Linked DNA regions of Mus musculus. The protein of the gene in region 2 interacts with the protein of the main gene of each other region in a pairwise test. Links are inferred from orthologs where the notes say so. Each region holds a gene or a part of one and is shown on either strand. Other genes may lie near its edges.

Evidence for each region.
Region 1: the proteins of Dctn2 (region 2) and Kifc3 interact in binary tests that used the Homo sapiens proteins (3 or more experiments, as listed by UniProt). The two-hybrid records come from large-scale screens. The link is inferred for Mus musculus from reciprocal best matches to the Homo sapiens genes DCTN2 and KIFC3.
Region 3: the proteins of Dctn2 (region 2) and Gadd45a interact in binary tests that used the Homo sapiens proteins (3 or more experiments, as listed by UniProt). The link is inferred for Mus musculus from reciprocal best matches to the Homo sapiens genes DCTN2 and GADD45A.

What each region holds. Positions count from the first base shown.
Region 1 is NC_000074.6:95,139,706-95,143,804, forward strand, and holds the start of Kifc3 (kinesin-like protein KIFC3), read right to left. Parts: upstream 2,853-4,099; 5' UTR 2,727-2,852; intron 1,615-2,726; exon of another isoform or gene 881-1,614; intron 1-880. UniProt on the Homo sapiens protein: Minus-end microtubule-dependent motor protein. Involved in apically targeted transport. Required for zonula adherens maintenance.
Region 2 is NC_000076.6:127,272,735-127,276,351, reverse strand, and holds part of Dctn2 (dynactin subunit 2), read right to left. Parts: intron 1,639-3,617; coding exon 1,542-1,638; intron 1,359-1,541; coding exon 1,297-1,358; intron 529-1,296; coding exon 430-528; intron 1-429. UniProt on the Homo sapiens protein: Part of the dynactin complex that activates the molecular motor dynein for ultra-processive transport along microtubules. In the dynactin soulder domain, binds the ACTR1A filament and acts as a molecular ruler to determine the length.
Region 3 is NC_000072.6:67,034,556-67,038,953, forward strand, and holds Gadd45a (growth arrest and DNA damage-inducible protein GADD45 alpha), read right to left. Parts: upstream 2,853-4,398; 5' UTR 2,690-2,852; coding exon 2,646-2,689; intron 2,557-2,645; coding exon 2,455-2,556; intron 2,381-2,454; exon of another isoform or gene 2,361-2,380; coding exon 2,123-2,360; exon of another isoform or gene 2,044-2,122; intron 1,218-2,043; coding exon 1,104-1,217; 3' UTR 541-1,103; downstream 1-540. UniProt on the Homo sapiens protein: In T-cells, functions as a regulator of p38 MAPKs by inhibiting p88 phosphorylation and activity.

The sequences.
Region 1 (4,099 bases), on a different chromosome or scaffold from region 2:
GCGTGGATGGGGTTGGAGGGTCGGGGTTGGGGGGAGCAGTCCCTGAAGGCCAGAGGTCTGAGAGTGGCAGGAGCTGTCAGCGCATACACGAAGTCCTCAGAAGCGGCTGGAGAGCAAGTAGGAAGGGCAGGACAGTCAGGTAGCCATAGCCAACTAAAAGAAAGCCCTAGGGACCTCTTTAACAAAAGCAGGGAGAGCCAGCCAGGTACAGGGGCTCACACCTACCTTCCCTAGCACTCAAAAGGTTGCAAGTTCTAGCCAGGCGTGGTGGCACACACCTTTAATCCCAGCGCTCGGGAGGCAGGGGCAGGCAGAGTTCAAGACCAGCCTGATCTACAGAGTGAGTTCCAGGACAGCCATGGCTATACAGAAAAACCCTGCCTCGAAAAAACAAAAAGAAAGGTTGCAAGTTCCAGACCAGCCTAGGTTGCAAAGCCGTTTCAAAGCGACTCAAGGGACTGGAAAGGGCCTAGGAGGCAGCTGTTTCCTTCTTAGAGGGAAGTTCAGCCAGGATGATGAGGAGATGGAGCTGAGAGAATATGCTATATAGAACAGGGGAGAGGTGACATGTAGGGGTAGACAGAGGTACAGGAACAATGCATCTAGAGACAGGAAACAAATAGCAAGAATCTGGAGTCAGAGACTGAAGACTTTTGATCTGATGCTTTTAGGGGCAAGTACTGAAGACAGTGGGTCATGTCTCTTCCTCCCCTGACTGAAGACAAGTCAAGTGTGGGGTACTCACTGGGAGAGGACAGGAATGTGGGGGGAAGGGGTCAGAAAGATGCTGATCAACCCCATCCCCCATCCCATGGATGCCTTGAGATGGGTGTAAAGTGGGAGAAGCCAGAGGAGCAGAGAGCAGATACAAATGCCCTACCCAGGTGGCCTGATGCAGTGCATGAAGCCGACCCTGCAGGCCAGGGGGTGAAGCTGGGAGGACCATCCTCTGTGGGTGCTCGTACCAAGCTGAGACCATGACGGGCAGAGGATTCTAGGAGAGATCAGCTCAGTCAAGGAGGTGGGGGAGCATATTTCTGTGCTATCAGGAAGGGAAGTTGGAGCGGCAGCCTGGAGAAAGAGGAAGGGTGTGTGCTAGGTCCCCAAGAGGAAAAGGCAGCTGAATTTAGCAGCTGGAAACCCGGGTGTGAGGTCAGGAGTATCAAGGAATCTCAAACAAGCCCAGGGTTCTAGGCCAAGAGACAAGTGCATCATCTCCTTACACAGGTGTTAGGTCTGGGGTCCTGGGACCTCTAGTGACCTGGAAATCATGCAGTAGAGCTATGGGCTAGGTCAGACCTTGGCTCCGCCACCTAGAAGAATTAATTACCTGCTCTTTGCCTTATCATCTTCATGTATCAAGTGGTGAAAACTGTACTTCTCAGGGCTGACATCAGAAAATACACATATGAAGTATGGACACAGGCAAAGGGCCCAAGATGCTGCTATCTCTTGGTAAACTGTCCCATTGGTGGGTGAATGCGGAAGCTGTTTGGGGGAGGGGCATGTGCTTCTCTGGGTTTAGCTAAGGATGGTAGATCTGCCTTCCTCCTGTCTTAAACCAGAGACAGGGCAAAGACTCACTCTCTCTCTCTCTCTCTCTCTCTCTCTCTCTCTCTGTGTGTGTGTGTGTGTGTGTGTGTGTGTGTGTGTGTGTAGACCTCATAGTCACCTATACACCACTGCAGGGGATAGCTTAGTTCTCCTGGGTGAGCATTTGGGGGAGGGGGCATGGCTAGACTGGGTTAGGGTATCCCTGGCACACACATGTTCTGGTGCATCCAGATTTCAAATTTTCTGCTCTCTGGTACCCATACAGACAGCAGAACTTACCATCCCCAAACCCTGAAGTCCAACCACTCCAATACACAAAACCATTCTGGGACTGCATTCCTAGCAAATGACTCTCTCTAGCCAAGGAGACTGCCCCTTTATGAAGGGCATGGGGAATAAGTCCTACCAGACTAGGAAGGGCATTTACCCAGTCTGGGGCAGAAGGACACTAAGGAAGGTGAAGCTAGGGGTAGTCCCAAGGCCCAAGCTTGAGAAATGCATTAAAGTGTGTGTGTATGTTTTGGAAGGGTGACAAATACTACTTAAGAATTTAAATCCAGCTTCCTCTTTAAAATGTCTCAGGACCCGGCCTTTCACTGTGTCAGCCAGAGTTCTCCTGTTACTTGCAGTGGAAAGGCTGAGGGGACAGACAGCTTCTGGGCTCCCCTCCCTGCAGGGATTCCTCAGCCGCAGCTGTCAATGACTTGATCCCTCTCAGCTTGAGAGGGTATTTCTGAGGCCCTCCCTCCTAACCTAGGGGCTGCCGCACCCCACCTCGGGCCTTGCCCGGGGGATGGGGGAGAACTACTCGGGGGACACAGAGGGAGGGCCCAAACAGTAGCCTTCCTGGAAGCGACCCTTGCAGGGGGAGGGGGTTCACTGGTTGACCCGCAGCTCCCAGGTAGGCACTGCACATTCCCCCTCCAAGGAGTCGGTCTTGGTGGCGCTACCCCAGAGGCTGTGCCACCCTCACGCCCAGGTCTCTGCAAGATCCTCCGGTTGGACCAATACAGTGGGAGCCCCGCGCTCAGCCGGGTCTCTTGGGGCCTGATCGCAACACCCACCGGGTCGGGGAAAGAGGGGGTCCTCAGGCAGGGCGGGCGCGGCGCCCAGCAGGAGCGCCGGGAGGAGCCCGTCCCATTCCACCCCCAGCCTGCCGGGACCCGACTCACCGGCCTAGCGGAGACAGGATCCCAGCGCCGCCACCGCAGCGCCCCGGGCTCGGCCCGCTCCGGCCGGCTCCGGCCCGCCCGCCCGCGCGAGGCAGCTCCACGCCGCCGCCGCTGCCTCCTTGGCCCGCCCCGTGCCCGCCCCTCCCGCACTTTCCACAGGAAATGATTAACTCAGGCCGCGGCGCGTTCCCATGGTAACGGGCTCGGGAGGGGGGCACGCGCACTCTCGCGCACGCGCCCACCCCAGGCGCATGCCTCCCCTCTTATCCTACCCATCCACCCGACACAGGCTGGTACACCCTTGTGCGCACACCCACTGGTGCACGAGCCCAGGCGCACCTTGCCTGCCCCTTCCGAGCTGGCTCACACCCTCCACTGCACACCGCGTACCTGCACACTCGCCCTCACCCATTACTCCTACCCAGGAGTTAACGTTAACACTCACCCTCAAAACGGTTTGTACTCCACCCCAAACCCAGGTGCAGAAGTTTCACGCACGCCAGCTAGGATCCACACACAACTGGCACACACACACACACAGACTCACATCTTAATACATTTCCTCACACAAGCTCTTGCACGCGAGATCGAGCACACGCATACCACACGTTCACCTGCTCTGTTACACAGGCGTGCACCCTCTCTCTGTGCCCAGCCTGGCATCCTGCCTTGCCAGCTGCACCCCTGCACCCCCAACCAATAAATATTTTCTTGAGCAGCAGGCTTGGGGTTTGTTAAGGTAACGCATTCCCTTAAGCTCCGGCAAAACAGCTCCACCGTCTGTCTTTAAAAGCTCCTTCCTGGGGCGTCTAGGAGCCACTGAAGAGGCCTGGGGGAGAGAAGGCTCAGGCAGCCAAGAGAGACTGCTGACCCAAAGGAGCCACTCTGTTCTTTGTCTCCCAAACAGAGAGGCATTTATTCCAGCCCCAGTATGCCCACTCCGGAGTGCGGAAGGAGAATGTGCCACAGGAGCCTGTCCCGCAGAGGCTGATGGTCCCCAGATAACCTGAGGAGGGTGAGGGTCTACCCCTTCAGGCTTGCCAGAAATGGCCTAGGAGAGACCTAGGGAGGGCCTTGCTGCCTCCTCTGGGCCTGCTTCCCGCTTCCGCTGCTGAGCCACGTGTCAAGAATCTGGAGCAAAAACAGAGACAAGGACTTAGGCCCCACAGGGTGCCTGGTGCCAGGCCAGGCCTGGCCAGTAGGCCCCCAGCTGGAAGCAAGCACTGTCTCATCTATTGAAGGCTCTATTCGAGGGGAAGGGGTGTGTCCTGCATTTAAGTTTGCATATAAAAGGAGAAACCTTGTCTTCCTTAAGGATTGGGACACTGACATAAACTTCAGTTTCCTTCTAGCAAAGCCAAAGTCAGGTTTTG
Region 2 (3,617 bases):
TGAGAAAAAAAAAAGCAACCTCGGAGAAAGCCATGGCCAGGCTGTTTTATTTACTTTATGTATCTGCATGTATGCAGTGTGTATACCACATGCATGAAGTGTGTGTACCACATGCATGCAATGTGTGTGCCACATGCATGCAGTGTGTATATCACATGCATGCAGTGGCCATAGGGGCCTGAAGGGGGTATCAGATCCCATGGGACTAGAGTTACAGATGGTTGGGAGGCCCTAAATGGGTGATGATAATAGAACCTGGATCCTCCAAAGGGGCAGCCAGTGCTCTTAATCTTTCCAGTCACCACTGCCACGTGCCCAGGATAGATTTTAGAACAGCACTGAATTTAACAGTGTTAAATATAGATTTGTATTCCCCAGCTCTGGAAACCTCACAGCCCAGGCACTCAGAAGCCAGGGTATGGACGTTACCTTGATCTTCTCCACCTCAGTTGTCAGCTCTTGGACTTCATGCAGTAGTCGTTGGTACTTCTGCTGCGGTGTCTCCTTCACTCCCAGACCCTCTCCAAGCTAGAGACAAGGAGGAAGTTGATGTTACCTGTCCCATTAGAGGGAGCCCTCGGAGTTAATCCAAACCTTGGACCTAAGTCATAAGGTATCCCTCTACCACCTGGATCCTCACTACCCTCTTACAGAAGAGAGGGAGACAACAGAGATCTGGAGACTCCAGAACTGTAGCAGGGAGCACAACACTCTCAAATGTATTTTGCGTGGATGACACTCAGACAAACTCAGACTAAGACTACATCCCTCAGGCTCAGCAGCTAAGGGCACTGGCTGCCCTCAGAGACCTTCAGTCCCAGCAGCCATAAGGTGAATTACAACCATCTGTAACCTTATTTCTACAGAATCCAATGCTCTCTTCTGGTCTCTCCAAACATCAGGCACACACATGGTACATTCATGCAGGTAAATACTCATTTGCACAATATAAAAATAAATAAATCTTAAAGAAACAAAACAAAAACCAAAGCCAGGTATGGTGGTACAAGACTTTAATCCCAGCACTTGGAAGGCAGAGGCAGATGATTCTCTGAGTTTAAGGCCAGCTTGGTCTACAGAGCAAGTTCCAGGACAGCCAGGGCTACACAGAGAAACCCTGTCTTGAAACAACAACAAAAACACAACAAAATAATAATAATCCCCAAGGCAAAAAACAAAGACAAAAAAATAAGAGAGAGAGAAATTTAAAATAAAGAAACAAAGCCCCAAACTTAACACTGCTCACTCCCCTGCAGGCCTGCTCTAGGCTCACCCCACGGTCATCACACAACAAACCATTTCATAGTCTCCAGACTCATATCCTGTCCTCTTGGTCTTTCCAATGCGATCTGAGAAATCTGTCAAGAGAAGAAGACTACTGAATGAGCTGGTCTAGGCCCAGTTCAGCCCCAGACCAAGGTGACTGTGAGGGCTGGTCCCAGAAGGCTCCACAAGGGATCGGATCCGCAGGGCTCAGGCAGCTTGTTCGCTCTCTAGGACCACGCCCGCATCCCCTCCCCAAGCCTCCAGCCCAGGCTCACCAAGCCCCTTTGTTCCCACTCTCTTGTCCTTGAACTTGTCGTAGGCAGCGTTGGGGTTGACAATGATGTGTTCCACGCTTGTGCTGCTCAGTTCCTCCTGAGGGGACAGGGACCTTAGCATTTCTTCTATCCCACAAAGCCCCCAAACTACTAAGCCACTGCACTCTATTTTTCCAAGGAGAAAGAAGGGGGGCTCCATTCCAAGCCTCCCACCCAGGCTCAGCCTGGGAAAGAGAAGCCTCCTGGTAAAGCTGGAGCCTTGGTAGTATAAGTATTAACACCCTGATTTAGCTAGGGACAGAGGCAGTGTAGCCTCCCCCACCCACTCTGTACATAAGCCTCCCTCCCTCAGCCTCTCCCAGTTATCTGGCATACACCATGCACTCAGGGCAAGAAACAAACTTGACCTCTCCTAACCTCCCCCTCCCAAAAGTAAATCTTCTTCCCTGGCTAAACAAGTCCATAGAGCTGACTCTTCGCCCATGCTGGACGGGGAGGAGGAGGCAAGGGCAATATTCTCAATGTAAAATGGCAGGTTTAATCTGTACAAGGTAAGATACCAACTCATAGATAGAAGAGGACTATTGGCAGAGTGTGTGCTTAGAAGCCTGGTTTCTGGGCTACTGTGGGGCCAGACAGCTCGGGATATGGAGGAGCAGCGACAGCTCAGCGGGTTACTATTAAAGGGACACCTTACAAGTATCCCAGGAGCACCTTAGGCAAGGGCTGGACATAGCCCCCAGCACTGAGAAGCGTGGCATGTGCCCCTGCTACTAGACCACTCTGTTGCACCCAAACAATCAAGTCAGGCACATGCAGAGAGGGAACACTGTACCCTAGACCTGAGGGTGACACTCCTTACACATCAACAACTACATCTTCCAACCAGGGAAGGTCACTACAGTGCTGAAGGAAGGGAGGTGCCTAGGAGTGCTGTTTTGTTAGGGGTTGACATCTCCCTGAATCTAGGAAATGAAGCTCAATCGGGTTGTTGCACATTAGAGTCTCTTAGAAAAGCCTGCCTGCCTGCCTTCCTTCCTCCCTCCCTCCCTGCCTTCCTTCCTCCCTCCCTCCCTGCCTTCCGTCCTCCCTCCATCCCTTCCTTCCTGGAGAAGAAAAAGAACAGGCCTGGGCCCATCTCTTAGGTGTGAGCTTAGGTGCTCTCTCTGCCTGTGTGTGGGTGTGTGGGGAGCAGGGAGGAGAACCAGGACAGGAGAGAGAGCACTGGCTGCAAGGAGGGTCCATCCTCCCCTCTCCAGAGTCACAGGGGGAACGTGGCGGGCATGGGCGGCAGCCTCGGGCTGAGGACAAGAGAGAAGGCGAGGACAAAGCAGCAGCTTCCCTCCCTTCAGGCAGCTGTTAGGCAGAGGGACAAGACAAGGGCCCAGTGGAGAGAAGAGACATCGGAGTCCCCCTCACCCCTTCCCCTCAGAAGTCCCCACTTGCCAAGTAGCCCTGTGGTTTCTGGTCTCTAAACTGCCTAAGGATAGCAGCTCAAGACAGGCAAGCATAGCTGTGCTGCTGGCTCCCGGAAACATGGTTTCTCTCCATAAAAGCCAACAAGGCAGAGGCCCCTTTTCAGACAAGCATGGTGGCACAGGTGTGTAATCCCAGCACCCAGGAAGACGCTCACACTGTAATCCCAGCGTTTGGGAGGCTGAAGCAGAAGGATAGCTGCAAGTCTGCAGCCAGCCTGGTCTTCACTCTGAGTTCCAGGTCAGCTAGGATCCCAAGACTCTACTCAAAAACAAAACCAAAAAAACTAACTTCTTAAAAAGATGGCCAGACAGCAGCAGAAGACACTTTTAATCCCAGCACCAAGCAGGCTGGGTCACTTTGAGTTCCAGGTCGAGCTAGTCTATAGAGTGAGATCCCATCTTAAAAGAAGAAAAGAAGCGGATGAGAGGCTGGTGCTGTCACTTGGTGCTGGAGGACTGACCTTGCAGGCTTCAGCCCCTGCGCTAGACCTCTGCTACCACCAACACACAAATGAAAAAAGAAAAGGAAAGGAAAAGGCACGGGGCACAACCTGAAGAGAAAGTGCTCTGTGAGGGACAGAGGGACAGCCTGCGTCTG
Region 3 (4,398 bases), on a different chromosome or scaffold from region 2:
AGCCACTCACCCTATTTACTACCCCATACCTCCCCAAGTTATCTACCTACAACACTGACCAGGTCACTTCCTTCTGCAGACTGTGGCAAGTTCACAGAAAGAAGCTCAAATACATAATGGTGATGCAAGAACTCCTGTCAGCATCTGAGCTGAACCCCCACCTTTCCAACCCTCTCTCACTTATCTGCCTACACCAGAGGCAGGCAGAGACACCCTCGTAGGTCTCTCTGCAGGCTGTGATCTTTGATGCCTCCAATGAAATGTTTTTTCCTCAGTAAAAGCTTCACTCATCTTCAAGCAGCTTTGGTAACCCTCCTCTCTGCTTCCACGTTTTGCATGCAATTAATTATAGCATTTAAGTCATTCACTGTAATTTAGACTTTGCAAGGTGAATCTTGCCATATTCCCTTTTTCCTTACCCCGACCCTCTACAACCGCCCCCCCCCACCATCTTCCTGCCTAGTGTAAAATACAGCAAAGCTTCAATAGAATGTCCAATAATCAATATTGTAAAACACAAACCACACGTTGAGAAATGACACAATTATTCCATACCAGTTTATTTTAGATAATGTGCTTCAAAAACTTTATCATAAATAACCTTTCACATCATAAAATAACTTAGTAAGATTTATAATAAAACTTCTGAGAATTTAACATCTCATCAAAATACATTTAAACTGTGGCTTGAAAATATGATTAATCCTCTTTTACTTTCCTTTTATTTGAGGGCATAAAGACCAAAAAAAAAAAAGAAAAAAAATACCCAAACTATTGCTATACATTTAAAGTTTCAACAAAGCAATATTTGGCTTATTTGAAAGTAACCTGGCCATCCTAAATTAGCAGTTTTCTTTCTTGCAGTGCTTTGTAGTTTTTGTCCCTTTTGCCTTGGATTTCTCTTTTCTCGCAGCTTCCTTCTTCAGGCTCACCTCTCTCTCCCTCTGCAAAGTCATCTCTGAGCCCTCGTGCAGTTGAACTCGGCCCCTTGACATCAGTTTCTGTAATCCTTGCATCAGCGTGGGGAGTGACTGCTTGAGTAACTACAAAGGTATTTCAAAACTTCAGTGCAATTTGGTTCAGTTATTTCCATTCGGATGCCATCACCGTTCCGGGAGATTAATCACGGGCACCCACTGATCCATGTAGCGACTTTCCCGGCAAAAACAAATAAGTTGACTTAAGGCAGGATCCTTCCATTGTGATGAATGTGGGTTCTGTGAACAGATTTTGAAAAAATTACTTCCCCGGAAAATAATCAGCTTCTGCTACTAATTGTGCTACTTTTGAAAGGGCCAAACCCCGAACATTCTGTTAAAAACAGCATCTAGCATAGTCTAAACACCTGTAACGTGCACGGAACTACACAGAGTTTTGCATATTAACTACCCCATTCTGCATGAGGTTACCATTCTTAAGACCTCCCTTCCAAGCATGTACCCTGGTGGGTCATAAGTAAAAGACTCCTGAAAAGCATTCTCAGGCTGTGTGCACGGTGAGGGCTGCAGGGCAGGCAGCTGCTGAACTCTTATCTTCCCTGACGATGAATAGCACATTTTACTGGCAGCAACAAGTAACCAGGCAGTCACTTCCCTACACAAGTCAGAAGAGAAAGAGTACAAAAACAAAAAACCAGAAGACCTAGACAGCACGGTTCTTTCTGAAAACACTATCAACCCACCACACATTTTTAAGCGGTGGGGAGGAGGGAGCTCGTTTAAACAAACTCAAGAGCAGCAAAGAAAAGAATTCCACTCGGTACACTTCAGAGTATCTATCTATATCCAGGGAATTAATAAGGTCTGTCTCCTACACCACTTCTACCTTTAGCTTTGACAGCAAATGAAGAATGAAGCTAACTTCTTAACGAAGGGTAAACCGGGAATTTATTTGGCTTTATCTAATCTGTTCTGCTCAAAGAATTAGCCACGCGAGGTTGTGCAGAGGTAAGCAGAGGTAGCAGCTGGGCAGCTTGCTGACTCACAGGGATATCTTCCGCCGCTGGAGGCCACCCACGAGCTTAGACACGCTCCGTACCCTATCACAACCCCCGCGAGATCAGCGTTCAGCTCGGACAAGGTCCACCCCAGCAGATTCTGGGCTGCAGCCCCGGGTCTCTTACCGTCACCAGCACACAGTGCAGGTCCGGGGTCTGCGCGGCGCCCCCGCTCTCCGCCGGGCCCGCGTCGTTCTCCAGTAGCAGCAGCTCAGCTAGCCGACCCGGGTTGCTGACCCGCAGGATGTTGATGTCGTTCTCGCAGCAGAACGCACGGATGAGGGTGAAATGGATCTGCAGAGCCACATCCCGGTCGTCGTCTTCGTCAGCAGCCAGCAGGCACAGTACCACGTTATCGGGGTCTCTGCGGGCAGCGGGGCAGCGGTGAGTTGCATACGCTCAGGGGGGCGCGGGGTAGAGGCGGGTGGGTGGGCGAGCGGGGAACGCGGGCCACTTACACGTTGAGCAGCTTGGCAGCCTCGTACACGCCGACCGTAATGGTGCGCTGACTCCGAGCCTTGCTGAGCACTTCCTCCAGGGCATCGCCCACCGTGTCCATCCTGCGGGCGGCAGGGTGAGAGCGGGTCAGCCGGGTCCCCGGACGCGAGGCGGGAGGGGCGGCGGCCACCGAGTCGGCAGGCACACTTACCTTTCGGTCTTCTGCTCTGCAGCCGAGAATTCCTCCAAAGTCATATTGCAAGTGCGAGTCCCTCCCTCGGCGCGCGGGCTGCTCCTGGCCCCCACAGTGCGCGGCGCCGGCTCTGCGCTCGCTCCCACCCTCCCTTCTCCGCTCCGGCCGGCCGGCTGCTCGCCTAGCCTCGCTGGGGAACTCTGCACTGCTGCCTCGGGGCCACTGGAGGACAAAGGGCCCGATTCCGGAGATATGGGGCTAGCCCTCAGCCAACCAGGTCCAGCTTCATTTGCATGCAGTCAGGCCATTGGGTTATGCAAATTAGCAGACGTTGACACCCAGACCCTCGCTCCACCAAAGCAAGGCAGAGTTGAGCGGAAAGGGGCGGAGCTACGCGGGAGGGAGCCCACGGGACGAAGGTGGTGCTGAAACCCGGTTGGTGGGGTCCTGAGCCAGCTCTAGGTAGTTTGTGGAGCCTTCTGGTGCGGAGGGCTTTGCAGTGGTTCAAGTGTCCTCAGCTCTGACTGAAACAGCCTGCCAATTGTTTTTCTGGTTGTGGACATCTTTTGATTGTCGTTTCGTGCCCTTTGTGTTAAGGGGCTGCTTTTTAAATTTTACTTCCAGGGATTAATGCACTCCAGTCTAGCTGTTGTTAGTAAGCATATTTTTAAGTGTCCAGACATGCCGGGCAAAGCTTGCTTCAGTGTTTATATGCAAGTTTCAGGTAAACCTGCTTATTCCCAGTAGTAGTCTTTTGGTGCCCTGATGGCTGGTTTGATTTGGTTTTGGTTGGTTGTGAGAATTTGAAACTCCAGGGAGAAGAAAAAAAAAAAAAAAATCGCATTTGTGTGTAGTGGTGGCACAGTACCAAGTTGGAATCTTTTCCACAAAAAGTTGGTGAAATTTCTGCCTACTCCATGTAAGGTGGGGAGCTGGTGATCGCATGTTTAACGAGCCAAATTCACCGTTCTTAGAATCCTTCCTGAAGAAGGCTCCTTCTGATCAAGTAAGAGCTAAGAGAGAAATTCTGTGGTATTCAGAGGTGCCATCATGGAAATTCGAGGTGCTCACGATGTTCCCTGAGCGTCCCATCACAGGCAGAAGAGTATGACACCACCTTTACTGTCTATGAGCTCACTCTGAATTACTGAAGCTGAATCATGAAGCTGTAACTGTAGTACATTTTAGCCATGTGCTCAAATTTCACCTTTGAGATAATAGCAACTTGTAGGTAGAAGGCAAACCCTCGTAACTGCAAGCAGGAGTTACAAAGTAAAAACAATTTTTAATGCAAACTTTTACTGGATAGCTCAAAACTCTCTTTGTTTTATGAGCTTATTCAGTAAATACAAAAGCATTGCCTGAACCTACTAGTCACGGAGAGTGGTGAAATTGCAGCCCATATGCTTGCATTCTTAACAGTGCTAATATTGAGGTCACTGGGTAGCTTACAGTTACAGAAGTAAATTTTGCAGAGGTACATGTGAGTTATCCTTAAGATTTTTTTTGCGGGGGGAGGGGTGGTTTTTCGAGACAGGGTTTCTCTGTGTAGTCCTGACTGTCTTGGAACTCACTTTGTAGACCAGGCTGGCCTCGAACTTAGAAATCCGTCTGCCTCTGCCTCCCGAGTGCTGGGATTAAAGGCGTGCGCCACCATACCCGGCAAGTTTTTATTCTTGTGGACAAAATATTTTCAAATTCTCTTAATCTTAACTTAATGGATAATTTATAGGTTGGTTTTCTAGTTCACTTATTGGAGATGTCCCCAAGA